3 linked regions of the Arabidopsis thaliana genome follow. The protein of the gene in region 3 interacts with the protein of the main gene of each other region in a biochemical or structural test. Each region holds a gene or a part of one and is shown on either strand. Other genes may lie near its edges.

Region 1 (10,021 bases), 8.1 Mb from region 3:
TCAAAAAAATATGTCATATTTTCATTGGGACCGGACCCCTTTGTCATCTACGTTAATACGTCGTCGTTTAGCCTGACACAATCGACACGACCAATGCGAATCTTAAATTTTTCCTTCGCTATGAAAAAAATCTAACACGTACGTTAACGTACATTCATTTAATCATTTAAGTAGAGAAGCTATTTTATTTATTTACTTTTTTATATCTTTACAAAACCACCATCATTAATCCACCACGTGTCCATTCCAAATGAAATAATAGAAAATCAAATTATCCAATTATCTATTGTTATGAAATGAATTTTTTTTTAAAGTCAATAATATATAGGTCCTAAAAAAAAATAACCTACGGTTTTGATTTTAATATTATTATAATAATATTTTTAATACATTAATTGTGAAATGTGTTGTTGTTGGTGTAAAAGCACATGGTAACAGTCCGTACGGTCTACGCCTCAGAACCTAATAGGCCCATTTACAATTCAGACCAGGCTGGCTTCCACGACCATCACTCCGGTCGTGACTCGGATTCTCACTCTGTCTCTGCCTCGTAGGTCCCAAACCGGACCCGTACCCGACTCATTTCTGTTGATTCTTTTACTTTGTGGGAACAAAAACAGTTTCAAGAGATTGAGACTTAACTTCTTCTTTTCTTGGCTCAGTAATATAGCTTCTTTTTTGTCCTTTTTTTTTATAGATATATCTCAACATAGATTCATTCTCTACTAAAATGTGACAATATTATATTGAATTATTGACACATCAAATTGAATTATACTCTTACAGTTTTCTTACCACTTAGTTTTGAGTAAAGTTGCAAAAATGTATGTGATCTTGAGTAAAGACCATTAGTTCTGCAAAGAAAACAACAAGAGCAAGTATGTTTTCCGCGTAGCCAACCGTTATTATCTTTGTAACTGTCGCATTTAAAAGATTTTGCTCCAAACGCCGTCTTTAAGCAGTGATTTTGATCATGTTTGAAACAATTTGATACCAGAAGATTTAAGCATGCTCTTTATATTTTGCTCTTTCTATTTAAGACTTTGGAGTGGAGTATTTGATGTTGCATATGGTTGTCAACTTTCCAATATAACTATCTGATTCATGTGTCGTACGTAACACCAGGGTCCAGGGATGATTTTCCATTAATTACAATACTCTCTCATGTCAGAAGACGAGGACCCAACAACAACAACAAGCACTAGCTCATCGTGACTTGAGAGCCGCCCTGTTTCACCAAACTGATACCAAAGACCTCTTACTTCAACTAACTCACAACACCCGTCGTCGTCCTCAACAATCTCACGCCATCCACATAAATGTCCTACCTCCATGAGCACCAACGCAACAACTACCACTCCACAGTCTCACCAAAGTGGATACACAAGGTTCCCACATACGCTTTACCCAAGTCTGTTCAGGGTGAAAACACAAAGAGGATGTGCGTTAAGTATATGGAAGAATTAGTTTTTCAAAGGCGGACGAAGAGAGTGCACAAAAGTCTTGTGATTTTCTTAAAATGTTTTTTTTTGGTTCTATGTTGCACCCAAAAAAGCTCTCTTTCTATACTATTCTAAGATCTCATCAATATCAACTTTGGAATGTGATTCTCTTTAAAATTTACAGCTTGTAAGGATGAATACAACATATATAAGGAATCTTGGTGAAGAACAAAATCAAAACCCTTTTGGACCATGTGAAAACTGTCTTATCGTCAATTCATCATTTATGCTCGAATCAAATCTTTAGTGCATAATCTCATAAACTCAAAAGTACGAAGACACAACACATTTCAAATATAGAGTAAAGTAGTTTCTTTAATCCGAAGAAGTTAAAGTAGAGAGTGTATTTAATTAAATTTTATTCTCAAAGCTAATCAAAAGTAAGCATTTCTGAATGATCTAGAAGGCCATAACGGCTAAGGCGTTTGCTGCTATTAATTTCGTTTCTGTTGGAAATTGAGATCTGCAGGTAGACCAACGGGAGTAGATTCAAGCTTGTGTGAAGTATCTCTGGGATTTTTTGGCGGAGAAAGCGGTTCCTTTACAAAACCGGGTGGTCGAATATCCGGTACATCCTCATCCGCTGGAGTCTTCGGGTTCGCTACATCATCCAAACCCTACATCAACAATAACAACATATCACAAACAATTTAGTTGTGACTTGTGACAGCTAAGCTTGACATATATAAACAACAAAGTCAAAATATACCTCGGGGTCTGATGGAAAAAGACTAGGCTCGTCTCCATCGTTACGGGCATGAATCTCTGGATCAGCGGTTCGACCAGTAGAAGAAGATAGTCTCTTCGCATGAAGACGACGACCGAGAGTAGAACGTGCTGCAGCAAAAGCTGGTGAAGACAGCATTATATCTGGCTATGTTGTTGTTCTTGTTGTCTGTTGGATATAAAACAATGAGAGTGTTTTAAATACACGAATTAGTCACATAGCCTAAACCCTAATTTCTCGCATATAGAAATTATGACCATGATAATAACCACTTAATCACCACTAATCTCTCCTATTTGTAATTAGACACCAAAGTACCCAATAAAAACTCCACATGCGTATATTGCTCTTGAAGTTTTGACCGTTGCCTCAAACCTCCACAAGCGTATATTACTATTTCTAGCTTCTCTGTTTTCTAAAATTGCGAGTAAAAATGATTAACTATTGAATAAAAATGTTTCTGGTTTAGTTAAGGCATAACTACGATTTTGTAATGGCACTAATATATGAAAAAAGGGAACTTTGTTGAAAGACGAGATGATGGCTAACACAGAATAATTGTTTCTCTTCCCCAAATGATTTAGTTATTGAGACAAACTTCCAAAAAGAAAAGAAAATCGTACTATGTTTCTTCATAGTTCATGTCCACGAGTTAAGGAGTGGGCATGAAGAGATAGAGAAGATTGATATTTCATCTTTGTGATGTTACCACTTTCGTTCGATATGTGGCTTACTTAAAAGTCCAAGCAACTTCTATGACCCAATTCAACTATTTTACCTTTCAAATAAAGTTGAATTGACCAGGAGGAACATTGGTGCTTCCGAACTGGAAACCAGATTGTGGAGCATGATTCTCGTCGTTGCCTTCTTCTTCATTGTCTTCAGTCCAAAATGTTTCGAGGATCTTCACGGCTTTGTCGTAGATATCATTGTTGTCGTGACTCTGAAGATTCTCAATCTTCTCTAACCCTTCTGCTTCGTCAATCATTTGAGCGTAGAGGTTGTCTTCTCCTGTGTGACCTAAGTTCTTCTCTGCTTCTCCAACCACGAGAATGTTCTCTAGTGCTTCTAAGCAAACCGTTACAACTTTCAGATCTGGGCAAGTAAGGAGATCGCATAGAGGTTTGATACAGCCTTGGCTCACCATAAACCTGAGAAGAAACAAACAATAAACACAGACGTGTTTTAGAAATGACCATTCTTTGTTAAGGAAACATTTCGTTTCGGTTTTTATGGTTTTACTTGATTTGATCATGAGTGCCACCAGAAGTAGCATTTGATATTCCCCAAGCAGCTTCTTTTTTTACTTCGAACTCTGCACTTTGAAGCACCCAAACAAGAGACTGGATTATACCTGCATCAATCACTGCCTGCACATACGGGTTCGAATAAAATCAGACACAGGAAACTTCAATTTTCGACTTTCTTGTTAAATGCCATATATTATAAACAAAACTCACTTGTATCTGATCTGCATTTCCAGCTGTAATGTTGGAGATAGTCCAGCAAGCTTCCTTCTTGATACTCTTCTTGTAATTGTTTTTTAGAAGGTTCAAAAGACAAGGAAGCGCTTGCTGGTCGAGAACCATCTGTGTTAGGAAAATAAGTTAGAGACATTTGCTTCTGAAAACTCGAAATCGAATGGTGAATGTATTATATGCACCTGAGTCTGTAGATCATCCCCGGTTACAATATTTCCAATGGTACGAAGAGCAGGAATCAGCACTGATGGCGACGAATGACTATACGGAGAAAGAGGAAGCACATAAATCAGATAACATAATCATGCCTGGCAATAAAAATTAAAATGATCACTATCAGATGCTTACCCTAAGAGCTGGATGAGGCGAGGAACAACTCCTGCTTCAATGACTGCTTGTATTTTGTCGTTTGAATTATCCGAGAGGTATGACAGAGCCCAGCATGCATCTGTGAGAACTTCTTCATCCATTGATTGCACAAGGCGCTCAAGAACTGGTAAAGCTGGTTGTGTCTGCTCGAAAAATGTTTTAAGTAACAAAATATCAGAAGCATGTTAAAAAATATTGTGGAGATTCAATAAAGTGTGTATATTTAAGGAAACCTGTTCAAATGCGGGTGGGGGCTTCCCTCTGCAGAAGTTTGATAATGTCCATGTAGCATTTCTCAGCATTGAAAGCTTTGTATTCTCATTGAATTGAGACAGAAGAGGTGTCATGGCACCGTAACTTAGGACTAAATCCCGGCATTTTGGTGAGTCTCCAGCAACATTTCCCAATGCCCAAACAGCCTATACTCAGTCAGGGAAAGACCAGAACTCAGAATGGTAACAGTCTCAATGAATTTCCACTTGATCCTAATGTCTAAGTGTTTCTTCTGTGACAATAACGATAACAGTGAGGATTTAAACATATACCTGTTCGCGGACATCTTCACTAGCAGAGCTGAGAAGTTGGATGAATATCGGGACAGCTCCACTTTCAATGATGACATTTGTGTTCTCTGATGTCCCTGAAGCAATGTTGGTGAGCGCCCAAGCTGCCTCAAACTAAAACACATTGCAGAAGTAAACAGCAAAAGCAAGTTAACAAATACATCAAACTAGTAACTATCAATATATCCAAAAAAAAACGACTGCAGCTGCGACTCACCTGAAGTTTGGGGAAGTCATCCCTGGAAAGAAACTTCACAACACGAGGAACAACACCAGATTGTACAACTTCATTGATAGGAGGATTTTGTTCTACAAAAGAAAAAACAACTGCTAAAGACTCTAACCAAAACACTGATTGTTATGTACTACTAGTAACGATCAATAACATAAATCACAAACCAATAGAAAGCAGTTTCCGCAAGAGATTTGTTGCCTCCAATTGTGAATTGCTATCCTCTGACCAGATTCCAGCAACCATAGCAGGTAGATTATCTTTTAACTGTAACACGAAGAGACACTATCATAGTCAAAAATCTCCTCTAGCTAAAGTAAATTTGATGATCTCCGTTGAGATATCAACCCTAATTCTCTTTACATGTCAAATTCAACACCGCTCAAATTCCCAGTCAATTAAACAGACATTAGTAACAAATACTCTCACCAAACAACACATACACATCGCAAGTTTTTGCAATCAAATACAAAATCTATGACCAAAAACAAAGAAACATCGCAAGAACTTCAAATCTAGAACAAATCGATCTCCAATTAGAAATTCATATGAAACAGAGACGATCTAATTGATCAAATCGGAACATAAAATCAGAAAAAACTAAAGGTGGAATCGTAAACAAAAGAAAGAATCACATACTTGGTTCGCTGAAGAAAGATCCTGTTCCGTTTGTCCCGTTGCTGAGCCAAAAGCCATAGAAGACGTAAATCTCTTCTTCTGCAAATTTTCCTCTCTCTTGTTCTTCCTGATCTCAACCAAGTTATCCTCTCGCCTCCGCCGTCCTTCCTCCGCATCGACCGCTACTTTGTACCGATTCCGTCGCACCTCCGTCTTCGCGCTAGGTCTGAGAGACATCGCCGCTAAAATCGAATCGAAATCGGAAGAGAATTAACGATCGGAAGATTATTTAAACACGCCAAGTTCGATTAATGAGAGAGTGATAAGGGTTTTGGAGTTTGATGCGAGTGTATTTATACAAGAGCGTGTACTTAGGAGGCCACGATTCAGGAGACTTGTTGTTAATCCAATATTGCCCCTAAGTTTTATCATTAATAACGAACCTGCCACTCATATTTTTTTTCTTTTTTGAAATTTGAATCTTAACGTCTCTCTGCCTTTTTAGGTATGTATACACCGACTACTAATTATGGATTTGTTTTCCTTTATTTTCTCCACGCAAATATTCTTTTCTTTTTCTGCAGCAGCAATACTCTAATTTGAAGAGGCTTTTTAAAGCCCAAATAAATTATTACATAGGCCAAACTTGGCTAAAACAACGTAATTTACAAGACTGTACTCTAATTAAAAGGGGTAAAAAGATCAATGTGAGCAACTGAGCATTATGAGAACTTTACTAATTAGATGCTTTACTATTCAATGCATCTTGGAAAGACGAGAACAACCATATTGCTTGAATTCCTTTCAAATGAGAGAACAACTAAATTGATTTCTTTCTATTTGTGCCATCTTATAAACTTGAGTGAACGACCTCTATTCCCCTACGCAGTTTCACATAGTACCACAACTACACAGATTTAGAACTTCGTTTACAGTCAACACAAAATAGAAGGTAAATTATTATATCCTCCTAAATCGAAAGTTAGAGAATTTAGTCTCCACAAAACCAAATTTTGTAGTTTATTATTAGGTTAACGTCATAAACCTAATGCCAAACCAAAAATCTAGTATAATAAACCGAATTGCAACCGATTCAATTTACTCTCCACATCATAAACTTCTAATCTCTCTTCTTTAGCTTCCATGTCTCTGATTTTCTCTTCAAGCAAATTGGATTCTCAAACCAATAGGAAAATTCTAAATTATATTGGATTGTACCCATAAGTGAATTATAAACTTCTACTTAACTCATTATTGGGTTTTTGGTTCAAAAGAAAAAAAAGAAAAAAACGAATTGCTTGAAATATGACAACAACAAAGGCTTGTAGCTCAGAGTCATGTATATGACACCCTAGGAAAACTGCCAAAGAAGCTCAGAGTCATGTATATAATTTGCGTACAAATTCATCATCTACTATATCACTCACAAGAAGCTAGCTGCAATTTGGTTCTAGCATTATGACTTGAAGATGATATATAGTAAACCAAAATGACATCAGTTTTATAAATATATTTTAATATAGTTTGCGTACAAATTCATCGTCTACTATAAAAGTATACAATCAAGACTAACTGAATACAATATATATATCATTACTTAAATCATCGAAATAATAGACGAAAAAAAAAAATCATCGAAATAATCAAAGACAAACTCTGTGCACGTCTCCATGCATATATGTATACTCATGTAATATGACATTATGCTTCAGTGAATAGAATTACAATGTGCGATTTAGACCATCATCATCTCTTTAGCTTTGTAACGTTCTGTATAAGCCTGATTTTGCATCCTCATCTGTTCATAAAATCTCACAATAAACTCCTCAGCTTTCGCATCAATCATCTCATCACCTCCATCATCATTACCATAATTTTCATCATCATCATCATCTTCATCAAGACAATCCATATCTCGCAACGACTTTGCTGATCCATATCCCGAGATTCCCGAAGAGCAAGAACTAGACGTCGCCGTGAGAACCTCAACCATCTCCGATACCTGATCGTCACTACTCGCCGGAACTTCATCCGTCACCGGAGAAGATGATGGTGGTAGTATCGTAATATTAGACGACGATGGAAGTACCGTAACATTGTCGTTTTTCAACTGCCCAAAGGACTCGACAACTCGCCGCCAAAACCCGTTATTAAGCGGCTTGCTCCTCCTCCGACGCCGAAGCATGTATAAAACGACACCGATCACGTGAAAACCACGTGATCGTTTCTTCTTCTTCATATTCTTGATCTCTTCTTGGCCACCATTAATCTGATTTTGAATTTCCATATATAAGAATTAATGGTGATCAAAAGGATATTCAAGATGGGGAGACTTTTCCCTGCGATGAGCAGGGAAGAAAGATTTTGAAAGAAGATCCCAAGGTTTCTTGCATACAAACCAAGTCTATTTATACTTATGAAAATAAATACATGCAACCACTATTTTTAAAGTATTGGGTGAAAACTATAAGATATGAAGAGTTTTGGGTTTAATGGTGGAAGTAAAAGCTGTCTCTTAAGAGAGATTTCACGTCATAACTAGAAAAGACAGCGTGCTCTTCCTGTGTTAATCGTTAGTTACGGGAACAAGAAGTTAAAGAACAGCTAATTATTTTGGTAATTGCTTCCTTCTTTATTTTATTTTTGGGTTCAAAAGTTGGTGCTTCCTTTATTTACCTTTTAAATGTGGATATAGTTCGGAAGCGTATAACAAACCTTTGCTTATTTGCATCAAGCTTCCGAGGCTCATTCACGACTTACACGAACTATCACTTAAAAAATAAATATAGTCTGCATCGCTTAATTTGAATATTAACATCAGTTATAGTTGATGTACATAAATTTTACATTACTTATATAAATGAATTTAGAATTGGTGATGCAAATATTTTGCCTCACTTGAACTAAATATTTATATTGCTTATTATAGTTAATAGAATAAAAGTTTTAGTTTCATGAGCTCAGGATAGAAATAAAAGAAAAAGAGATTTTCCCTGTTTATGGATCACTTGAATAATGCTTGTTTTTTTGCCCTAACGGATGATTAAGAATTATTCTTTCCTCATGTTTCAGTGATTATATTTCATAATAGAAAATTAAACAATACCTGATATAAAGGAAATTTAACCAATCATAAACATCATAAAATACTATATTATGTTTTTATAAAATACATGTCAAAACGGCGCTTAGAAATTTTGTTTTATAAAACAAGGCTTGGGTGGTGCAAAGACTTACATATGAAAATTGTTTTTTTTTTAACATCATTGTTGTTCTTTTTTTGTTTGTCGGTATCGTTGTTAATCTTGTTTCAAAAGAATATCGTTATTAATCTTTGTAAAAAAGAATGGTTATATATATATATATATATATATAATTAAGAATATAAATATTTTATTATAAATAAAATAGATTAAGAATTACAAAAAATAGATCTCATATTATATATGGTCCAAAGAAGACTAACTAAACAATGACGTTGTCAAAATCAATGAAACGATAAAACAACAAATATCTACTATTTTACATATAAAAAAAAGATACATGAATCTGTATATTTCTAAGATCCGACAAAGAAAACGCACGTTACAGTATCTCTGGAAATGGAACACGGTTTCGTGGAAACTAGAAACTACAATAAGGAGACAGCCGCAACAACATGATTCAACGGCACACAACTAAACTAATCAAGCCTTCCTTATCTCCCAAGTTTTTTTTACTAGACCTCTAATTACTTTTAATTATAGTCCTTCTTTAATTAATCATAATGAAAGTTCCATACAATATTTATGTATTTGTTTTCTTCTAAGAAATTAATTACCTTCGCAAGTTCAGTAGTGATCCAGCTTACCAGATTATTATAGAGTTGCAACTATTCGTTTATAATATTATTCAAAATATAATTGCATTTCGTAAAAGACAAAACAATTTAAACTCTTTCTAGTCAGTCATAAATTCTCTTAACTCTTTTGTTATTTCTTGGTTGTAGGCTTGTAGCATTTACACAATTTGGTAAACCATTATGTAACGTAATTAACATTTATATTTCAATAACAATTTTTATATATAAACAATATCTAAACGTAACACATCTGGAGACAGAAAACGTGAAACTAATAATTAGGTGAAACCAACAAAGAATACTAAAGATGTTGAACGTATTTACTTTTAAATTAAAAAGCACAACAGACGAAATAAATCGAAAAATGCGTAATTGAGAAACAAAACGGCTAAACACAGCTAAGATATGGTCCACGTCCAGCCGTGACCCACATGAACTTATTTGTAATTTTTTCGTAAAATATTATTAACAAATATTTTTTTCTTTTGAAAAATTATGATAAACAAATTTATATGATGTATTATACATAATTAATAATACATATTGAAGCATGTAAGGTTTAAAAAAAATTCGGATATTAGTGTCTATGGAATTTTATTACTTTTTAAATCAACTATAAAACTATCTTTTTAAAATAATTCATACAAAGAAATACTTTAATTAAGGATTAAATAATTAATGTCAGTCA
Region 2 (10,335 bases), on a different chromosome or scaffold from region 3:
TCAATTGTATAAGGTAAAACAGATTCTTGAAAGATTACATCTCGAGAGACCGTAACTGCTCTGGTTTCAAGGTTATAAACACGCCATCCCTTTTTGCCAAATGGATAACCAACAAAGATTGCCTAAGTACTCCTGGCTGCAAATTTATCACCTCCATGTTTTTGGTTGTGAACATAGCACAAACACCCAAAAACACGAATGTGATTCATTGGTGGAGGTCGATTATAAATGAGTTCGAAAGGAGTCTTTCCACCAAGTATTTCAGTAGGAGTACGATTGATGAGGTACCCGGCTGTCAAAGCGCAATAACCCCAAAACTCAATGGGAAGATTAGCTTGGAAAAGTAGACCTCGGGCAACATTCAATATATGCCTATGCTTTCGTTCAACACGGCCATTTTGCTGCGGAGTGCCAACGCAGGATGTTTCATGTATGATCCCGTGTTGATTAAAGTAATCTCTTAGACAGATGAATTCGCATCCGTTGTCACTTCGAATTGTTTTCACCTTAGTAGAAAATTGACGTTCAACTAAAGCAACAAAATTCTTAAGCTGTGTAGGAGCTTCTTGTTTGGAATGTAACAAGTAAATCCAGACTGCTCTCGAATAGTCGTCAAGTATGGTGAGAAAGTATTTAGAGCCACAAATGGAAGATGTACGATAAGGACCCAAAGATCGCAGTGAATCAGTTCAAAAGCAACATTTGTCTTATTATAACTCAAAGGAAAAGACTCTCTCGTTTGTTTAGCGCGGATACAAACTTCACACGCCTTAGTATCAAACTTAGTACTAAAATCCAAAAACTTTAACATATCCATAGCTTTAGAAGAAGGATGTCCCAACCGCGAATGCCATACTTCCATAGATGATGAATCCATTGAATGAACGGCTGCAGCTACTCCTACTCCTCTCAAAAAATAAAGACCATTCTCCTGTTCACCTGCTCCAATCAGGGTCTTGGTGATGCGGTCCTGAATGAGACATAGCCGATCAGTAATCTGAAATACACAACTACGTTCTCTAGTTAACTGTGATACTGAAATAAGGTGACATTGCAGCCCATCAACAAAAAACACATCTTGAATACACAGCGCAGAACCAAAAACAACTCGACCCTGTTTAGTAGCCATGGTGAAACGGCCATCTGGAAGTTTGATGAGTACAGGAGCCATATCGCGAACATCGATTAAAAATTCAAGAGTGCCTGTCATGTGATTAGAAGCTCCTGTATCAATAATCCATGACTCAAGAAAAGATATACCTGATTTTTCTTTTGAGTTGAGTTTCCTGTTTGCAAGTGTTTGCACTAGTGAGTCCCATTCGTCGTTACTCAAACCAATTATCCCGACGCGATCTGCGGATGTGAGAGAGGACGTTGACGCAGATAAGGCTGTGTTGACACCAAAACTTTGCAACTGATTCTGGTTTGAAGTGGTTTCATGATTAACTTGACCAGTCCCGAAGCTTTTGCCCGTCATTGAGCCCACCGAAGAGGTTGTTGTTCCACGGCCAACACCACCCGAAGTTGAATTTCCCTTATTTGAATTGTTTCCATTTTTATTTCTGGAATTTGACTTCGGATTGTGCTCCCACCAATCTAGATAGCCTATTTTCTTGAAGCAGTTGTCGGCAATGTGATCGGTGCGTCCACAGATGGTACATGAAACAGAGCTTCCTCTGTTGTCAGAAAAATTCCTAGAAGAATTGGTTTGAACAGCAAAACTGACGCCATCTGATCTTTCTTCATGAGTGCGACTTAGATTTTTGGATTCCTCGTCCAGAGTTAAAGCGTTGTAAGCGTCTTCTAGGCTTGGTAAAGGAACACGTGAAAGCAAATTTGATTTAACGGCTCCGTAGATGGTATCATCTAGACCCATTAAAAACTGATGCAATTTGTCCTCTTCTCGCTCTTTTCGAACCTCCTCCATTGTTTTTGCGTTTTGGTAATCGGCAAGACTCCCCCACAGCTGAGTTAGTTTGCCGTAATATGCTTCGATAGCAAGACCTCTTTGTCTGCAATTTGCCAATTCAGTTTTCAATCTTTGAACTCTCTGGCCGTTTTTCACTCCAAATCTCTTTTGAATATGAGTCCAGAGTTCATGAGAGTCATTGATGTGAGATAGGGACGAAGAGAGCTTTTCTTCAATCGTGAGTTTGATCCAAGAGACAAGAAGCGCGTTGTTAGCAATCCAGTCTTCAAAGTCGGGATCGTCGTCTGGTGGTTGAGGTATAGAACCGTCGACAAAACCGAACTTCTTTCTAGCTTTCAAAGCCAAGCATATGTTGTTGGCCCATTCGTCGTAGTTTGGACCACGCAACAAAGGCTTGGAGATCACGGTTCCGGGGTTCTCACCGGAAGTTAAATCGTATGGAGATATTGTACGGCGATTGGTGGTGGAGGTTATCAGAGCCGACGACGTAGCAGAATTCGTGGCCATGATTTTCTCCTTTGTGAGATAGTTTTAAAAAACAGAAAATAAGAAACAGAGTTGTTTTAGCGGAAGTTTAGATCATAGAATCGAACAAACCCTTGAGTAGTTTAGGTTTTGCTCTGATACCATGTCAAGAAACTCTTGTTTGTATAAACTGAATCTCTTAGGGTTTTAGGTTACATTGCTTGGTTTATATATAGGTTACAACTTGAGCATAAAGTTAACCTATTCTAAATATCAAAACCGACTAAGCCCATAGGCCCAATATATTCTCCCTCGTCATCTCAAAAATTCAAAGTTGAAGAAACTTATTTCAGTTTGCCCTCAAGCACAAGTAACTTTTAAAGAAGGAATAATCCATGTGATTGGAGAAGTCTTGCGGCCCACGAATAACAAGTGGAAGTGTTTTTCCTTAAATTGGCAGAAATTTAGGCAACCAGGAGAAGAAGGCTATACACACTTTTTCTGCGAAGGTGGCAGAAATTTATGACGGTGTTATGGACTATCATAAGGATACATGTTTTGCTTGTCCTTGGTTGTGTAAAGCTGGTTTCTTCTATGAATGTAGTAAAGAATGATGTTGTTTTCTGCTACACATGCAATGCGCCAAGATTTCTGAGCCACTAGTCCATCCAAGTCATTTGCATCCTTTATTCCTAACAACCAAACCGGGAGAGAAGCGAAGACATTTTTCAGTTTGCAAAGAGCTAGGACATTATTCCAGAAAGGAAACATTCAATTGCATTGAGTGTGACTACTTTTCTTTGTGTTTCAAATGTGCTACATTACCTCATAAGGTAATGTATAAGCATGATAAACATATGTTCACTCTTTCTTATGGGGATGAGATAAGTACAACGATGTATTGGTGTGAAGTTTGCGGTCCGAACCGACTGATGATGAAAAATCAGCAAAATAAATCCGAAGGAGCGGTTTTATGTGTGATGAGTACTGTAGTGTTACCCTACACATTCAATGTATGTTTGGGGTGGACTTATCCTTGAAGCCCGATATATTATTGTCCGACGGCGACCTATTTACTCCTTTTGCAAGAAGCATTGTCCACACAAAGTAGCTCTCCAATGTTCTGTATTAATATCGTGTTCCACATCTTGTATTGATGCTAAGGACTTAAGTTGGGTAGCCGAATTTTGTGAAATGGAATTTTGATGGACTCTGCGTGCAATGTTTTTAGGTATGACATGTATAATGTGTCTGATATAAACGTTGTATAAAATTGGCATCAGAGGAGAAATACAATAGTTAGAATGAAACAGCTAAGTTATGTACACATGATCAAACCTTAAAAACCATCAAAAAGAAGAAAGGATAGTTACTATTACAGTAGAGTTTAACTTAGAATCCAGGTATATAAAAGTAACCCGGCAAAGTAAACACTGCACCCACATATTATATTATGTTCTCTACTATTACAAACCATTGAACATGAAAGAAAAAAAATGTCTCAACAAATGGTTAAAACATTCAGATCACACGAAGCTCTGTAAGAAAGGCGGCGCATAGATCCAAGAAGAGAAACTGCGGACCGTTAACTCTCTGTATATCCAGCAAGTACTTCTCTTCCCGGGCTTTGTATAGCTGTTTCAAAATCAAAAGTGAACTCAGAAAGTGTATAATTGTTCTTCGAAAACAGTTGGTTCAAGTTCTAAAGAAGGTTTTAGTCTATGTCCTAGCTGGTTTAGTTTTGTTGAACTACTACTAGTGGGATAAAACAACATCAGGATCTTAGTCTTTGCTCCAGCACAATTCTACGAATGTAAACCCCGTTGATCGATTCATATCCCTAACAAACCGAACTAGGCAGTTGTTTATTTTCTCCAAGGAATGTTGTTGATACAAATGTATGTGTGAGTTTATAGTTACCTGAAGTTCAAATTTGATGACAGTGGGTGAAGTCATGGCACAGTCATCCTCAATGATGCTGGATTCATCTCTGAAGTGCAGCTGATTGTTGACCATAGTATTCTGACCATCAGCTAAACCAGGAACCCATCGACATTTCATGTTGTAGTGACCAATCTTCTTCCAACACACATTGAGTTCTTGAAGAGCTTTCAAAACTTCATTCATGATTTCACGAGGATGCGCATGAGACTGTTCAAAACAACAAGGTAACAGAATGATTATCGATTTGGCTATGTAGAGGCAAAGAGTACAGATATCTGATTGTGTGTTGCATTCAGAAGACTTTATGGTGAGGAACAAAAAGAATCAGTAATCAGGAACAAACCTGAAGTCCAAGAGCCCATTTTCGATCAACAGGGACTTGTGATCTTGCTCCCAACCCGTAGTGATCCACATGTGCAGGAATCCAGTGGCCTACAGGTGAAGCGCCCGCTTCAGGTGTGCGCATAGGATTGGAACCACTGTCCTAGATGAGTAACGTTGAAAAGGTGAACATGTTAGTCAAAAATGTTGGAAAGCTATCTACTGAGAGGAAAGAAAAACACATACTGTTGTCTCCTGAAACTCGGATTCTAGATAGCCACTTGGAACACGGAACCGGTTATCCAATAACAGGTAGTATGTAACAGTAGCCTGGTACAAGGAGCAAATGGCATTTCAGTGACTATTGGAAACTAGTTTCGGGGATTAAAAGCATTAGAGACAGGAAACTACATACATCGTTTTGTGTTCTGTTGCGTAGAGATTCCAAAACCTGGTTTCTATCAAATCCCATGTTAACCACTTCTTGAACTATCTCCTCATTGATCTGCAAAACATAAGAGATATTGTTACTATCACAGCAAGTGAACTCTATTAATCTCCAAATGGCACTGAAACCAACCTTTTTAGCCTGCTCTACTGTATCCGGTGGAGAGACAGCAAGATAACGAGGGAGATGAGTCTGGAACCAACGGTGTTGACGGATCTCAGGAATGGTGATTCGTTTCACCGGGTCAACTATAAGCATCCTTGGGATCAGGTCTCTAGCCTCAGATGATAAATGACTTGGAAGAGTGTAAATCCCACCCTAAAGAGAAAAAAAACACCTTGATAAGTTACTTCACATACATATGAATCCATTTAAGAAGAGTCTTTTAGCTGAATCAAAGTATAACGTACAGTACCTTAATTTTCTTGAAAAGGTTGGGAATGTTTTCATCATCAAAAGGAAGAGTACCGCATAATAGAGCGTACAATATAACTCCGCAACTCCATACATCTACTTCAGGTCCAGCATATAATTTACCTGATATAACCTACAACAAGAAGTAAGAGATAAGACACTCATAAGAGAAACGAGACATAGTCACATAGGTGAAAAACAATTCAGTAACTTTACTAAACTATATACCTCGGGAGCAGCGTAGTTGGGGCTTCCACAACTCGTCTTTAGAAAATGACCATCCCGCATAACATTACTCAACCCAAAGTCTGCAATCTTAATATTACACCTCGAATCCAATAGTAAATTCTCAGGCTTCAGGTCTCTATGGACAACCATATTACGATGGCAGTACTCTACACCAGATATTATCTATTCGGATATGAGTCAAACACAAACAACACTCAAACTCAAAGATGACATGATACGCTACAAACACACTGGTTATGGTAAAGAGAAAACAAACCTGCTGGAAAAAGTTACGAGCCTCATCTTCTTGTAATCTGCCTTTCTCAACAATATAATCAAAGAGCTCTCCAGACTTGACATACTCCATCACAACATAAATGTCACTCGTGGTCTCTATTACCTCATACTGCCGAATAATATGAGGATGCATAAACAACCGTAGAATCTTAATCTCCCTCCTCACTGTAAAGAAGAAATATACATACATTAAGATAAAAATACATACTAAAACCTAATAAGCAGAAACATTTGATTATCAAAGCTTTTGTTCTAGAAACCACTAAAGCTAAAAGTAACGGTGCTTGTATATACCTTTCTCTTCCATCTCCATGTTCTTGATCTTACGACGATTAAGGATTTTGATAGCAACCTTATGCCCTGTGACAACATGCTCTGCTATTTTCACCTTCCCAAAAGACCCAATTCCAAGAGTTTTACCAAGCTTGTAATTCGGTAAAATCGATTCCACTCCATTATTGCCAAATCTATTTGATGAATGATCCATTTCCTGTGTCCCAATTCAACATCAAACTCATAAGTAAGCTCTCTTAGCAACTTCTCTATAGAAAAACATCAGTAAACATATTAACTTGCTCAAATAAAAAAAAACATTCTTCAACTCAATTTTCATTTCATCAAATCTAATCTAAACCAACCATAAGCTTGTAAGAAAACTGACAAGAACCACCGACATAACTACTTTGTAATGGTGGTTTTGGTCTGAAACCAAACAAGAGACTCACAAGTTTGAGTTTAGAAGACAAAATTGATAAACCTTTACAAAGAAAAAAAAGTCAATTTACCTGAAAAGCTTGTTAATTTCGAAAACCGTCTTGGAGTAGATCCGAGAATCAAAAACCCAGATAAATTGTTCAAACAAAGAGCGAAGAAATATACAGAAACAAGGAGAATCAGATTGATGGGTATAAATAGGGCAGAATTGTAAATTACGATGTAATCTGAAGAAATTCTTGGGGAAGTCAGATTTCCAACTCGTAGGTGACGCAGAGCTGAGTCAGGTTTTTTTAAGTCTTCATGGTGAAAATTGGTAATGACGAATCAAGAAACCACAAAACCCAGATAAACATTTATTGCCATTTGCAAGCCCTTAAATTAGGGCCTTTTTGCCCATTTTCTGTTTTTGTTTGAAAAACTAGTTTTTTAAGGTTTAAAATTTTTATATTACTGTTTTTATGATCTATATATACATTTTTGCAGCCACTTTGTGAAATAAATCCTAGAGTTGGAGTTTATTTACAGTGGCTGCCACTCGCATTTAATAATTGTTTTTGATAATTAGAAAGAAAATCTTTAAATTAAATATTTGACAATCTTCCCAAAATCTTTCCACATTAACTACACGATTAGTTACTAAAATAAAACTTCCGAAATATTTAATATCATTTAATTACTACAAAATTATCATTTTTGATATTGTTTTTCTACATGACTATAATAATTCGATTATAATCATCAAACCGCAGAGATATTAGATAGCATTTAATTACTACAAAATTAAAAAATATTTAGACAATGATTCATAAACATATCATAAATAAAATCAGTGAATTTTTTTTACGGGACGGATTGGCGGGACGGGTTTGACAGGACGTTACTTAATAACAATCGTAAACTATAAAATAAAAATATTTTATAGATAAATATAATTTGCAAATTTTTATATATAGTAACTTTAAAAAATAAATTGTCTCCGCGGTATACCGCGGGTTAAAATCTAGTTTTCTATATATAAAAGCGTGCTAATGATAAAGCGGATAAATTAAGAAGTTTCAGACGCATTTTATTATATAAAGTAGAGTTTTTAAAGTTAATAACTCAACTGATCGTGACACGTAACAAGTCAATCGTTCATATGTTGATATTGTGTCGGATTTTTTTTTACTTTTTTCCTAAAAGAAATAGGCAATTTAACAAAAACAAATATTTACATATACTAATTTATATGTCTATATCTAAAAAAAATAAGTTATAGTTTACTTAACTAAGAAGGGAAACTAACAATAAGATGGAGTGTATAGAATTAAATTGTATTTGTATTGCAAAATCGAATTGTATTTGAAATGTATACAATCAAATTTAATTGTATTTGTATTATAATAAAATAGATATTTAAATTGTATTGCATAATCGAGATTTTTTAAATATTTTTTCTAAAAGAAATAGGAAATTTAACCAATAAAAATACATACACCAATTTATATTTCTATATCTAAAAAATTTAACTTAAAATTTTCTTAACTAAGAAGGAAAACTAACACAATAAGATGGAGTGTATAGAATAAAATTATATTTGTATTGCAAAATCAAATTGTATATGAATTGTATGGAATCGAATTAAATTGTATTTTTATATAATAAAATAGATATTTAAATTGTATTGCAAAATCGAGATTTTTTAAATATTTTTTCTAAAAGAAATAGGAAATTTAACAAAAACAAATACATATACCAATTTATATTTCTATATCGAAAAATTTAACTTAAAATTTTCTTAACTAAGAAGGAAAACTAACACAATAAGATGGAGTGTATAGAATAAAATTGTATTTGTATTGCAAAATCAAATTGTATATGAATTGTATGGAATCGAATTAAATTGTATTTTTATATAATAAAATAGATATTTAAATTGTATTGCAAAATTGAATATGTAAGATTGAAATTTGGTTTAAGGAAATACTAAATTAAATACTGAAAAGTATATGAATTATTATTTAAAATTTAAATATCATCAATAAGATGGATGTAGTCTATAGAATTAAAACAGTTTATTAAGATAAAATAGATAGTTCAAATGTAGAATAATTGCTGAGAATGCCCTTTTCACACTACCTTTTTCAGTTATACCCTTTCATATTTGACATTTTCATTTCTACTTTCAGTAAATTTTTAATGACTATTTTACCCTTATTTGGAAATTGTTTTTTGCCTAAAATATTCCAAATAAATTTCCTGCCAATAAAATACCATAGTTTTTGTTTTTGAGCATTTTTTTTAATACACCTTTTACACAGAATTCATTGTATATACTCGTATATAGCTTTCATTGTATTTAACAACTGTATAACCATAATACAGTACTGCTTCCAACTGTACAGTATAGATACACCGTATAAGCCGTATTTTAGAACACTAGTGTTTTATAAATGTATGTGGAAAGTTGAGCCTAATAGTTAGGCATGTCAACTAGAGATAATGCTCGTATGCTGGCCTGGCCTTACTCTAAAAACAGCGAATTCGGGTTAAATATATATATGTCTTGAAAAATTTGCTCTTTTAGACTAAATGTTTTTGGAGCTTAGTCCGGCTAGGATCGGATCGGACAAAAAGTCCTACATAAATATTTTGATATTTGTTTTGTTAAATATTTTTGTTAATATGAAAATTGTTTTACAAAAAAATTTGAATTGAAAAACCTAAATCTAGTTTTCTAATTGTGCCTTACATCTTTGAAGTATTCTGATTTTATATTTTTATTTAGTATAAGTTTAAACAATTTATTGGATTATTTCTTTGTTTTTAAACTTTTTCTTTCCTTTTTTTTTGGTTCAACAAAACTTTTATTTTAAATTAACTTAGTTTTAGTGGTTATTTAAATTTTGATTGACTCATGTCATACATATGTTCTTTCTTTTTCAGAGATATTATAAATTATAAGTTTGTTTATTCGAAATAAAAAGCCCGGAAAAGTCATGTAGCCCTATTATGGTCAAATTGGGCTTTAAAATATAGGATTAGAAGTTTTATGGACCGGGTCGGTCTCGCTCTAATATATGTAGGTTTGTATGTCTTAATTGCATATTTCTATATACTTTATCTTGTATAGATTTGTATCTCTTAATTGCATATTTTGATTGAAATTTCATTTGAATAATTGAGTAGAAAAATCATAAATTAATTTGAAAAATATATATATAAGTAAACTAATGCAAATCTGTAAATATTCTAATAAATGTTAGGTGTATAATTAAATGGATTGAGAAGCTATGTGAGAACGACATGTTAGCATGACATTTTCTTTAATTACACATGAAAATAAGGTTATTTCTAAAAAGTATTTCTCAATTAATATATAGGGGATTTAGAATGTTGTTCAAAGTTCTTACCAGCTATATAATAAGCTCGACTTTGGTTTTTCTGTTCGAAATCTCAAAGCACCAATTTATAGTCTAACTAATTAGCTCTTAAAATCATTCGATCAATTATTTAAACTTTATGTGATTTGTGTTATTATATTTTGAACTCGATAAAGCAAGCTACTTATGAAGATAGCTAGTGAAGAGGT
Region 3 (10,842 bases):
AAATAGATGGACAGCTCCTGCTGGTGCTTGGTTCCTTCTATCAGAGGTTTCAGTTTATCTTTCAAAGTCTGTCGAATGGGAATTTCTTCACCATCATTGGCAGTTGCTTGACAAGAATGACGTACAAGGTTTGTCAGAATTCTGTTTATCCATCTATAAACATCTCAATCAACTGATTCATGTCTTTACTTGTTCCTACTGGTAGTGTGATTTTCTGGTTTTAGTCCTAACTTCTACCCTAATTAAACCAATTTTCATGAATGTATGTATGATAATTTGGCTATTTCTGAAGGGCTAGATGAACAAGGTGATGAACAGGGGGTCGAGTGTAATTCTTCTACATGGGCTGGCGATCGAGTTTGTCTTTTGCAAACAATCTCCAATGTTTCCCTTCAGCTGCCAGCAGAGCCTGCTGCAGATCTGGCTGACAATTTGCTGAAGAAAATCGAAAATTTTAACCTGCATTCTGCTGAGGTAATGATAAATATTTAACCTGATATCTTCTATATAAAATCAAGCTCATGTTTTGAAAGTACAGAAAGTTACTGGTTTTTGTCTAGAAGGATGTATTCTTTCAGATTTTGATATTTTTTTGGTACTTTTCTGTAACCTGAAACTTGAACGCTTGAATTGAGCAGATCATTATTCACTGGTTTGAAAATGGTTGCTTCGTATATGGTTCATCTATCTTCATGAACTTAGTCAATGCCATTGAATGACAGGTCGATGCACATGTCAAAGCATTAAAAACTTTGTGCAAAAAGAAGGCAAGCACCTCTGAGGAGGCCGATATGCTTGTCAAGAAGTGGGTAGAACAAGTTTCATTGAAAGCATCTAAGGTCACTGAGAAGTACATCGAGGGGGTTTCCAGTCATAATCATTCTTTTGTTACACCAGCAACACTCGGAAGTAGAAGAAGCAAGAGACTGGATACTGTGTCCAAGAAATTATCAAAAGCAGTCACAGCAGTATACACCATTGGATCTTGTGTCATTATATATCCTTCAGCTGACACGACCAAAATTGTTCCGTTCTTACATACTGTCATCACTTCAGGAAATTCAGACTCAAAGCTGAAAAACAAACTGCCGCAAGCTAATGTTTGCTTGAAGCAAAAAGCTCCTCTTCTCTATAGTCAGTCTTGGTTAACCATGGCGAAGATGTGTTTGGCTGACGGGAAGCTTGCTAAAAGATATCTCCCTCTCTTTGCACAGGTCTGTCTGCATTTGCTGATTCATGTGTCCATTTTATCATTTTGATTATTTCTGGAAAGGAAACTTTTCGTTCCAGGAACTTGATTCATTGGATGGTAGTCTCCTTTGTCTCTTCAATTTTTTTTAACCTATGTGAACCCGTTGATGCCTTACTCTTGCAGGAACTTGAAAAGAGTGATTGTGCAGCCTTGCGTAACAATCTTGTAGTAGCGATGACAGACTTTTGTGTTCACTATACAGCCATGATTGAGTGGTATTTCATTCACAGAACATTAATTTTTCAAATGTTAAACATGATTGCGACATTCTAATGGTTTGTTTACCTGGATAGTTACATACCGAAGATTACTAAACGTCTTCGGGATCCTTGTGAAGTTGTTAGAAGGCAAACCTTCATACTTCTCTCAAGGTTACTACAGGTATTGCTATTCTCCACAGATTCTTTATCTTCTGTTTTTAAAAAGTATTGAATTGACAATGAATAAGCAGGCTTGTTTTCTTGATTCAGAGAGACTACGTGAAATGGAGAGGAGTTCTCTTCCTTCGATTCCTTCTATCGCTAGTGGATGAATCTGAAAAGATACGTCGACTTGCAGACTTTTTATTTGGAAGCATCCTTAAAGGTATGAGAACTCACGTGAGCAACCATGAAATGCATTCTTTCATTCCCATGTTATTGAAAATTCTTACAGAGAGACATGATCTCTAGGATTTTTGATTATTGTTACGCCCCATGTTGCTTATAGTAAAGGCGCCACTTCTAGCTTACAACAGTTTCGTGGAAGCTATTTATGTCTTAAACGACTGCCATGCCCACACTGGCCATAGTAATCCAGATTCTAAACAATCAAGAACAAAGGATCAAGTTTTTTCTATCAGGTACTTGTGTTAAAGTTATATAGTCTATGCTCATACGCAAACTTGACATTTTGGTGTGAATGATCTTAGTGATTATCTTTGTTTCATTTGTTCTGTAGAGGGAATGATGAAAGGGCTAGGTCTAAAAGAATGCAGATCTACGTTACTTTGCTTAAACAAATGGCCCCAGAACACCTTTTGGCCACATTCGCCAAGTTATGTGCAGAGATCCTCGCAGCTGCTTCTGATGGAATGCTCAACATAGAAGATGTCACTGGTCAATCAGTTCTACAGGTAACTTCCAAAATGGCTACAGAGCCTTTTTTCTTCTTGTGATTGCCGATTTTTAACTCGTTTTGTCTCGGTGTAGGATGCGTTTCAGATCTTGGCGTGCAAAGAGATCCGTTTATCAGTTTCCAGAGGAGCATCGTCGGAGACAGCAGATATAGAGGAAGAAGGTGGAGATGCAGCAACTGCAAAAGGAAGGGCCATAACGCACGCTGTTAGAAAAGGTTTGATTCAGAACACGATTCCAATCTTCATTGAGCTCAAGAGGCTATTGGAGAGCAAGAACAGTCCTCTCACAGGTTCGCTCATGGACTGCCTCCGTGTCCTCCTCAAAGACTACAAGAACGAGATCGAAGAAATGCTTGTCGCTGACAAACAGCTTCAGAAAGAGCTTGTTTACGATATGCAGAAGCACGAGGCTGCAAAGGCAAGGTCCATGGCTAACCAAGGGGTTGCCTGCGGGACAAGTCATAGAAACGGTGAACCTGAAGCATCAGCAGCAAGCGAGGAGAATGTTAGAGATTCGGGATTGGAATCAAGAGTGGTTTCTGCGGCTGCTGATGTGGTGGCGGCTAAGGCAGCTAGGTCGGTGTTGAGAGAAGTGAACGGTGGAGCTGCAACGCCGCCTCTGAGCGCAATGAGTGTTCCGAAGCTAAGGTCGAGCCGTGGAGTTAGCCAGAGTGGTCGACCATCAGCTGATGTGTTGGAGTCTCTGAGAAGAAGACCAACTTTCATGTCTGATGATGAGAGTTAGAACTTAAAAATGAGACTGTAGAAAATAGCTTTTGCTGTAAATGCATGACTTCGATTTTTCTTTTTGGGAGATTAGATCGAGACTCTATTAAAGTCTAAATCGTATTTATAAACCGCATAAGACACTAAAACCTGGTGTGTGTGTGTGTGTGCGCGCATTTGTTTGCTTGCTCATGTTTGTCCTTGTGTGATAAATCCATCCCTGCCCTCAAATTGATTTATGTGTTGTATGTGTTGATTTTAGTGATAACATCTCAAAGTGATTAAATATTTTCAAAAATGCTATTTGATGTCTATAACGGCTTTAAAACTTTTGCAAGTTCATTAGAGCTATCTCTAGCACATATATGGCGCTTAGAGATGTTACGAATATGTAAGACTGATTACATATCTCTTTGGCTTAATAAATATAAGTATTTGTGTTGAACTCTTTATCTTCTTCTTGAAGATGTCTTATGGGAAACATGTTAAATGGATAGTAAATGAGAGATTCGAAAATATAGTGTGAGCTTCCTTCTTTGGTTTATGCATTCTCCATGTGGGGGGCAAGGTTTTTGAAGATTTATACTTTTGTGGCAAATCTCTTGTTTGAATACTCCATGGGAGTCTCTCATCAAAACTATGCTGCAAAATATTTGAAAATTTATAAATCTATTGTCTTTGAGAAAGTGTTACAAAATTTATGACCTCAATAATATTGCATGAAAACTTTCATACATCATTTGGTATATGTATGTTTAAGAAAAGGTAAAACCGTAATTATAAAGAGAAAGAAAATACAATATCTTAATACATATCAATCTAATTACTCATTAACCATATTAAGAAAATATGTGTCTTTATTTTTTCCTTTTAACATAAAGCTTAAAAAGAAGATTTGTAGCCAGAAAAATTAATTGTGTTCATTTCCCTTTTAAAAGAATTTTTCGGCGCAACAAAATCGTGAAATTGATATAAATAAACTCGAGATTATTAATATAACCCTTTTTCACTTCACTTCTCTTTCTCTCTAAACCCTAAAAGAAGAACGATGCCGGCTCCGACGACGGAGATCGAACCCATCGAAGCACAGTCACTGAAAAAGCTCAGTCTCAAATCCCTCAAACGATCACTTGAACTCTTCTCTCCCGTCCATGGCCAATTCCCTCCTCCTGACCCGGAAGCGTTAGTCTTCTTCGATCCCCAATTTTCGATTCGAATCTTCATTTTCTTCACTAAGTTTTTATGATTTCTTCGTTTTTTTTTTTTTTTTTTGCAGCAAGCAGATTCGTCTCAGCCATAAGGTAAAACATTGAGTCTCTCTTACCAGTCTTTAGAAATTTATTTCAGTTATTCGCTTTTAATGTCTATTGATTGGATTTTGGTTTAAAGCTTCGAACTTTAGGTTTATTCAGGTTTTTCCATAATTGTTCTAAATCTTCAGGTTTTGTTACCAATAATAGTAAAGATGGTTGATTTACTTAGACTCTCTCTCTCTCTCTGTTGTGTATGTTACTGATTTTAGAAGTTTTCTTTGTACAGATGAAAGTTGCGTTTGGAGGTGTAGAACCTGTTGTGAGTCAACCTCCACGTCAACCTGACCGCATCAATGAGCAGCCAGGACCTTCAAATGCTCTTTCCCTCGCAGGTGTTTTTCATATCACTATGTCTTGGTGAAAGATAAAAACTTGTTTCTTGTTTGCTATTTGCATTCTTATTTGTATTGGAAGGGATAAAATCATCTGCTTGATGAATTCTGCAGCTCCTGAAGGGTCTAAGAGTACGCAAAAGGGTGCGACAGAGAGTGCTATTGTTGTTGGTCCAACTTTACTGCGTCCAATACTGCCTAAAGGCTTGTAAGTGTTATCTTTTGTTGTTGGTTTCGTTGATCTGAATGCTAATTGATGGTTCTACTTTATCGTGAGGATGCTCATAAAAGAATTCGGTTCTCGAATTGAAGGAACTATACAGGTTCCTCAGGGAAGAGCACCACCATTATACCTGCAAATGTATCTTCATATCAAAGGTTTTTTTCTCGTCCTCATACTTGCTTTTCTTTATCTGGATTGCAATACATTAATGGCAGCTCTAGGTAGTGTAGGTAGTTCATGGGCATGCAAATTAGACTTCCCCCAATCTGAATTTTTTTGGTTTGTCCTTATAATGTAGCTTCTAATTCTGATTCCTTTTTTGTTGTTGCGTTCCTTTGCGTGTTACAGAAATCTGTCAACTGCTGCATTAATGGAGAGAATACCAAGTAGATGGCCCCGGCCAGAGTGGCATGCACCATGGAAGAATTACAGGGTAAAATCCGTGGCTCAGCATTGTTGCTGCATCATACGGATTTTGGTCTTTTGTTGGTCTCCAAAAAACTCTGGTTTGAGGAGTTACTTAACTTACGATTAATTATTCTTTTCACAGGTCATTCAGGGGCACTTGGGTTGGGTCAGATCTGTTGCGTTTGACCCGAGTAATGAATGGTTTTGTACTGGTTCAGCTGATCGTACCATCAAGGTAGCAGAGATGATTGCTTATTCAATATGAATTGTATTTTTTCGAATATGTTTTCTTGTTATACTTATAAGTCATGATACAAGACTTCCCTTCTATGGCTAGTTACTGGAGCTTAGTTTAGTGCATTGCCAAAAATCCACTACTTTGGCGATTGTAGAAGCAGTTCCGACTTTGGTATGTTTACTGAATTTATTACTTGTGTTTTATTCACTAGATATGGGATGTAGCAACTGGAGTTCTGAAGCTAACACTTACTGGGCATATCGAGCAAGTACGAGGTTAGCCTTTCAAATCTGTTCTCGTTTATTAATATTTGTTAGACTTTTCAATAAATAACACTCTCGGGACAAGTTACAAGTTTGGGCTCTTTTGTTTTGAATTTTGTTACAGGCCTCGCTGTAAGCAATCGACATACCTATATGTTCTCTGCTGGTGATGACAAGCAAGTCAAATGCTGGGACCTTGAGCAGAATAAGGTTACAACTCTATTCTCTTCATTATCTGGATTTCTCATATCTAATGCTCTTGGAATTTTTGATTTGATAGGTTATCCGATCTTATCATGGTCACTTGAGTGGTGTCTATTGCTTAGCTCTGCACCCAACTTTGGATGTTTTATTAACTGGGGGGCGAGACTCTGTCTGCAGGGTAAGGCAAAAATATTTATATCCATATTTATATATCTTCTCGTTTGAATTCTTGCACTTTGCTGGATTTGTAGTTTAAAAGTCCATGTTTACTTATTTGCAGGTGTGGGATATTCGTACCAAGATGCAAATTTTTGCACTCTCAGGACATGACAACACCGTTTGTTCTGTATTTACTCGTCCAACAGTAAGTCTCTTTTAATATGGACTTGTTGTTATGGTTTTTGGATTTCTTGCTGAATCTTTTTATAATAGTAACTGGAACTCACTTTGATCTGTGTTGTTGCAGGACCCACAAGTTGTCACCGGATCCCATGACACGACCATTAAATTTTGGGACCTTCGATATGGTATATCTTATCATTGTAACCATTGTTTGGACTTAAAATCCATATTATTTAAATCCTTCCTTATTTGATTATCAGTTGCTGCAAATATATGGTTTCATTTGAATAATGCTGTATTATTATTATATGCAGGAAAAACAATGTCAACGCTAACACATCATAAGAAATCTGTCCGAGCAATGACCCTCCATCCTAAAGAGTATGTGTAGTCGTACTGAATCTACTTTTGTGTATCGTGCTGAATCTACTTTATCTTTCCAATAGCGAAGTCTTTGCACCTAAACTTTTCCTTTATGTTATCTCTTTAATTTTCTTTTTAGGAATGCCTTTGCTTCTGCATCAGCTGACAACACCAAGAAATTTAGCCTTCCAAAGGGAGAGTTCTGCCACAACATGCTGTAAGTCTCTGCTAGATAATTATATACTTTGCATCTCCAGTGCTTTTGAAATAGGAGCTGTCATTATTAATTATGTAATTGATGTGTTTGAACAATGTTTATCTTTTTCCATGGAAAAGTTCGCAACAGAAAACCATAATTAATGCAATGGCTGTAAACGAGGATGGTGTGATGGTCACTGGAGGTATATAATCATTTCTGATTCCTTTCGTCCCTGTGATTGTTTTCCTTTGATAGTAAAATGGGTGAGACATAATCATTTTCAACTGAAACTGATTCTATATATGTGTGAATGAAGGTGATAATGGAAGTATATGGTTCTGGGACTGGAAGAGTGGTCACAGTTTCCAACAGTCAGAAACTATCGTACAGCCTGGTACGTACATTTATAGCTTTCATGGTCTTTTGCTCCTGATCTCCTTGTTATGGTAAGATGTAGAAGTCTCGGTATGTTCATACAACGTAGTCAAGTTTGAACCCTGGTAAAGACTCAAATGTTAGAAGTGTATGATACTATGATTGAGCTCTAGGGAAACCAAGAAAGTTGACGTAGGTTTATGGTTTATGTAAATGCCTATAGCGTCGTCTTACAAGCAAATAGTAAATGGGTCTTTAATTGGATGTGGTTGGGCATATGGCAGGTTCCCTGGAGAGTGAAGCGGGTATATATGCAGCGTGTTATGATAATACAGGTTCAAGATTGGTAACATGCGAGGCTGATAAGACGATAAAGATGTGGAAAGAAGATGAGAATGCAACTCCAGAAACTCATCCTATCAATTTCAAACCACCAAAGGAGATTAGGCGCTTCTAAATAACTTGTATCTGTAACTCAAAGCTCTTGTTGGAATCTCACTAATCTCTTCATGATTCTGTTTCCTAGATCAACTTTTGAGAGGGGACCTTTGTTTTGTGGTGGGGAGGAAACAAAAGGCCATGTACTTTATGTATTTTAAGGGCATTTGTAATTTTTTCTATCAACAATAATAGATCATGTATTGTTGTTTATGTTGAGAGAACTTTGTTACTTTTATCTCCCGTCTCTTGATTCTCTTCGTTAGTACTTATCGAAGATCTATCATGATTTCTGTGCAACCAAATCTGTGAAGTTTTGTAGGACGAATCTAAGTATTTGATCAACAACTTATATCTCTAGTCTCCACCACTGAAAGTTTTCAGCCTAAATTTTGGCTCGGGTTGTTTGGTTTATGAAGCTTTTATAGTGTAACTACACAGCTGATACGAAGAAACCAAGTGTAAAAACAAAACAGCTGATACGAAGAAACCAAGTGTAAAAACAAAAGAAAATATTGAAATAGTAAACAATTTGAATGGAAAAGATCCACTAAAAAGAGACGGTGATGGTGAGCTCGTTTGCGCGAAGACACCTGTGTGTTGGTTTTGCAATACGTAAGTGACACGTTCTAGTTATCATCATTCAGATCTCACCGACCTCTTCTGATCTTTTGTACCAAAGTATACTTGTTTATTCGCAGATCTTTTGTAGACTTTTCACCTTTTTAACTGCCAGTATCGTTTAGTGGAAGACGTACATTGGTTTTTACGTCTTCTATTTCTTTCAATTCAATCATCAAACTATCAAAGCATCAAACTATCATAGCTTTCTCACTAGTCACTTGTGGGTTTCTCGAAAACAGGCAAAAACATAAATAAAACCCCCCAAAAAAATGAATTAGCCATTTACTATTTTCACATTTCAGTTTTTAACCTTACTTTGGCAGTAAGTATGAGCAGTGGGTCCACAGTAAGGCCCATGAGCCCAAATTTCTCTGTCGTGGTCTATATAAGTGCGCCTAACCCAAACCCTAAAGTCTCTCGAAAAACCATCACCGGGGAATCTGACGGCGGCTTAGTACCGGCGGCTACTGCAAAAAGGATTGTGTTCTTCTTAGGCTTGATACTTGCCTTGGGAAGAATATAACAATCATTTTGCGGTAGCTAAAACGCTAAGCTCTATCGTCATATCTTTATCATTGATACTTATTTGATATCTAAATATCATAAAAATGGCCGCTCGTTCACTCTCCGGTGCCGTTAAATCTCTTTGCTCCGCCGCATCCGGAAGTCTGTCTTGTTCCATTGTCTTAAGGTACTTATGTTTGAACTGATCCCATTTTTTCAGGTTACAATATATAAACATTTACACACTCTTTCATTTGCTTAGATCGTATAAAGAATTTATAATTCTAATTGAATAATAGTTGATGGTTTGAATTTGAGTGAAGGCTAAAGATTGATCTATCATTAATAAACGTAATTAATTTACTTAGATCTATTAAAGATAATTATGCATGATATTATCACGTTATTTTCTACGTTTTCGTTATGTTATTTAGTCATTTGCTGTTTATATAATCTTACCTTCAAAATAAATTATTGGAATGTAGGAGGAGTTACGTTGCTACATCGCAGAATGTAACAGCAGCAGGATTGAGTAAGGGAGGTTCCACCAGAGTTATGGTGGGGAAGATGGAACAGAGAGGTTTAGATCAAGAGGCAGAGTCTGCTTGGGGACCAGATCCAGTTACTGGATACTACAGACCTTCCAATCGTGCGGCTGAGATTGATCCAGCTGAGCTCAGAGAGTTGCTTTTGAAAAACAAAGCAAAGTCTTTCTGAGAATTTTGATTGGTTGGTTGACTTGGTTCCAGTGGAAGGTTGTCGTAGGCGACTATTCTGATTATGTGTGTTTATGTTTGTCTTGTATCAACTATTAAGTAAAAATAAAGATCACATTAACTAGTTAAAAATATAATATCTGTTTGGATCGACTAACACAACATCTTTAGTATAACAGTGTCTTAAATGTTTTAAGAGATAAATGGGGATATACGAAAAATAGAAAACGTTGCTAATTATGACTAAATTATGATACTTAACAACGTCAACAACAACAAAACAAGATGATTTCACTATGGCATTATATTTTGTGACCACAATCTTATACTTGTTGTTGTTGTCAACATCAAATACAACAATAGAAAATGATGGTGCTTTTTCATACCCCATATAAAATTTTGTTGATTCTTCATGCCCATAGTTTTGTTGAGGCTGCTAATGGCCTAATAGTCTTAGAAAATGCAAACGGACTATTGAGGGTTGAGAATATGCTGTAATTCGGCCCACTTCTGGGCTAGTCGAGTGAATACGTAAGGATCAATCATCAATACTTGGTTGCCACAATAGATTATGAATCAGTGAAACTGTGAAGGGTTCAAGATCTTAGTATATATCATAACTAAATATTATCACTTTGTCCACTAAACTTAAAATGATAACATCGATTCTATGCTATAATGAGATACTGAGATCAACGTTTTGGCTGCTTTTCCTCCTTTGGTCTTAGCTAGTGGTGCTATTTTAAAACTTTTCAGTACTTTTTCGTTTTAGGTTTACTGATGTGTTTGTTATCGGAAGAGTTTTGTCTCTGTTCAATTTTTTCTTAGAAAATATTTTTTTTTGAACATGTATTATTTCTCAACATTTGTCAGTCTAAACGTGTTGTCACTCACATTTCTTCCCCCAACAAATATCAAACATGTTGTCACTCTCGTTTTCATATATGAAATTGAGCATCAACAAGTATTGAGGAGGACATATCCCTGAGCTAGTCATTATGACCATGTTGTTGTGTCTGAAATGAATATCACGATCCGAACGCTAAAGGGAAATGTCAAAGTCCGAGAGACGAGTAAAACTGAAATATGTTTGCTCCACAAATACCGAACCGTACGTACGTCTGTATGACTGTATACGCTCACTTGCAATCGAACGTACACAACGACACAAGACGTTTTTTTACGAATAATATCTCACAAACTCA

What was found.
Region 1: the proteins of PRL1 (region 3) and MOS6 form a complex in vitro, tested with the Arabidopsis thaliana proteins (one study listed by BioGRID).
Region 2: the proteins of PRL1 (region 3) and KIN11 form a complex in vitro, tested with the Arabidopsis thaliana proteins (one study listed by BioGRID).

The regions. Positions count from the first base shown.
Region 1 is NC_003075.7:947,874-957,894, forward strand, and holds MOS6 (ARM repeat superfamily protein), read right to left. Parts: upstream 5,818-10,021; 5' UTR 5,730-5,817; coding exon 5,514-5,729; intron 5,142-5,513; coding exon 5,042-5,141; intron 4,952-5,041; coding exon 4,860-4,951; intron 4,757-4,859; coding exon 4,625-4,756; intron 4,499-4,624; coding exon 4,313-4,498; intron 4,223-4,312; coding exon 4,059-4,222; intron 3,972-4,058; coding exon 3,893-3,971; intron 3,819-3,892; coding exon 3,690-3,818; intron 3,600-3,689; coding exon 3,472-3,599; coding exon of another isoform or gene 3,468-3,471; exon of another isoform or gene 3,381-3,467; coding exon 3,011-3,380; 3' UTR 2,673-3,010; downstream 1-2,672. Other genes in the region: AT4G02140 (uncharacterized protein), read right to left, coding at 1,937-2,119, 2,212-2,367; AT4G02160 (cotton fiber protein), read right to left, coding at 7,228-7,779. UniProt on the Arabidopsis thaliana protein: Binds to conventional NLS motifs and mediates nuclear protein import across the nuclear envelope. Acts as a cellular receptor for the nuclear import of the virD2 protein of Agrobacterium, but is not essential for Agrobacterium-mediated root transformation.
Region 2 is NC_003074.8:11,124,977-11,135,311, forward strand, and holds KIN11 (SNF1 kinase homolog 11), read right to left. Parts: upstream 7,130-10,335; 5' UTR 6,981-7,129; exon of another isoform or gene 6,833-6,980; intron 6,538-6,832; 5' UTR 6,535-6,537; coding exon 6,342-6,534; intron 6,213-6,341; coding exon 6,028-6,212; intron 5,934-6,027; coding exon 5,751-5,933; intron 5,656-5,750; coding exon 5,524-5,655; intron 5,427-5,523; coding exon 5,241-5,426; intron 5,166-5,240; coding exon 5,076-5,165; intron 4,991-5,075; coding exon 4,907-4,990; intron 4,824-4,906; coding exon 4,683-4,823; intron 4,547-4,682; coding exon 4,316-4,546; intron 4,031-4,315; coding exon 3,917-4,030; 3' UTR 3,644-3,916; downstream 1-3,643. UniProt on the Arabidopsis thaliana protein: Catalytic subunit of the probable trimeric SNF1-related protein kinase (SnRK) complex, a central regulator of cellular energy homeostasis, which, in response to seemingly unrelated darkness, sugar and stress conditions, activates energy-producing pathways and inhibits energy-consuming processes.
Region 3 is NC_003075.7:9,019,632-9,030,473, forward strand, and holds PRL1 (pleiotropic regulatory locus 1), read left to right. Parts: upstream 1-4,034; 5' UTR 4,035-4,143; coding exon 4,144-4,277; intron 4,278-4,371; coding exon 4,372-4,396; intron 4,397-4,634; coding exon 4,635-4,740; intron 4,741-4,854; coding exon 4,855-4,948; intron 4,949-5,052; coding exon 5,053-5,118; intron 5,119-5,311; coding exon 5,312-5,396; intron 5,397-5,513; coding exon 5,514-5,606; intron 5,607-5,820; coding exon 5,821-5,884; intron 5,885-5,996; coding exon 5,997-6,082; intron 6,083-6,152; coding exon 6,153-6,254; intron 6,255-6,356; coding exon 6,357-6,440; intron 6,441-6,542; coding exon 6,543-6,603; intron 6,604-6,732; coding exon 6,733-6,799; intron 6,800-6,920; coding exon 6,921-6,998; intron 6,999-7,117; coding exon 7,118-7,182; intron 7,183-7,296; coding exon 7,297-7,374; intron 7,375-7,639; coding exon 7,640-7,812; 3' UTR 7,813-8,177; downstream 8,178-10,842. Other genes in the region: AT4G15890 (binding protein), read left to right, coding at 1-128, 293-474, 723-1,214, 1,376-1,467, 1,546-1,633, 1,723-1,837, 1,961-2,093, 2,192-2,366 and 1 more; DI21 (drought-induced 21), read left to right, coding at 9,026-9,108, 9,407-9,638. UniProt on the Arabidopsis thaliana protein: Pleiotropic regulator of glucose, stress and hormone responses. Also regulates cytochrome P450 CYP90A1/CPD.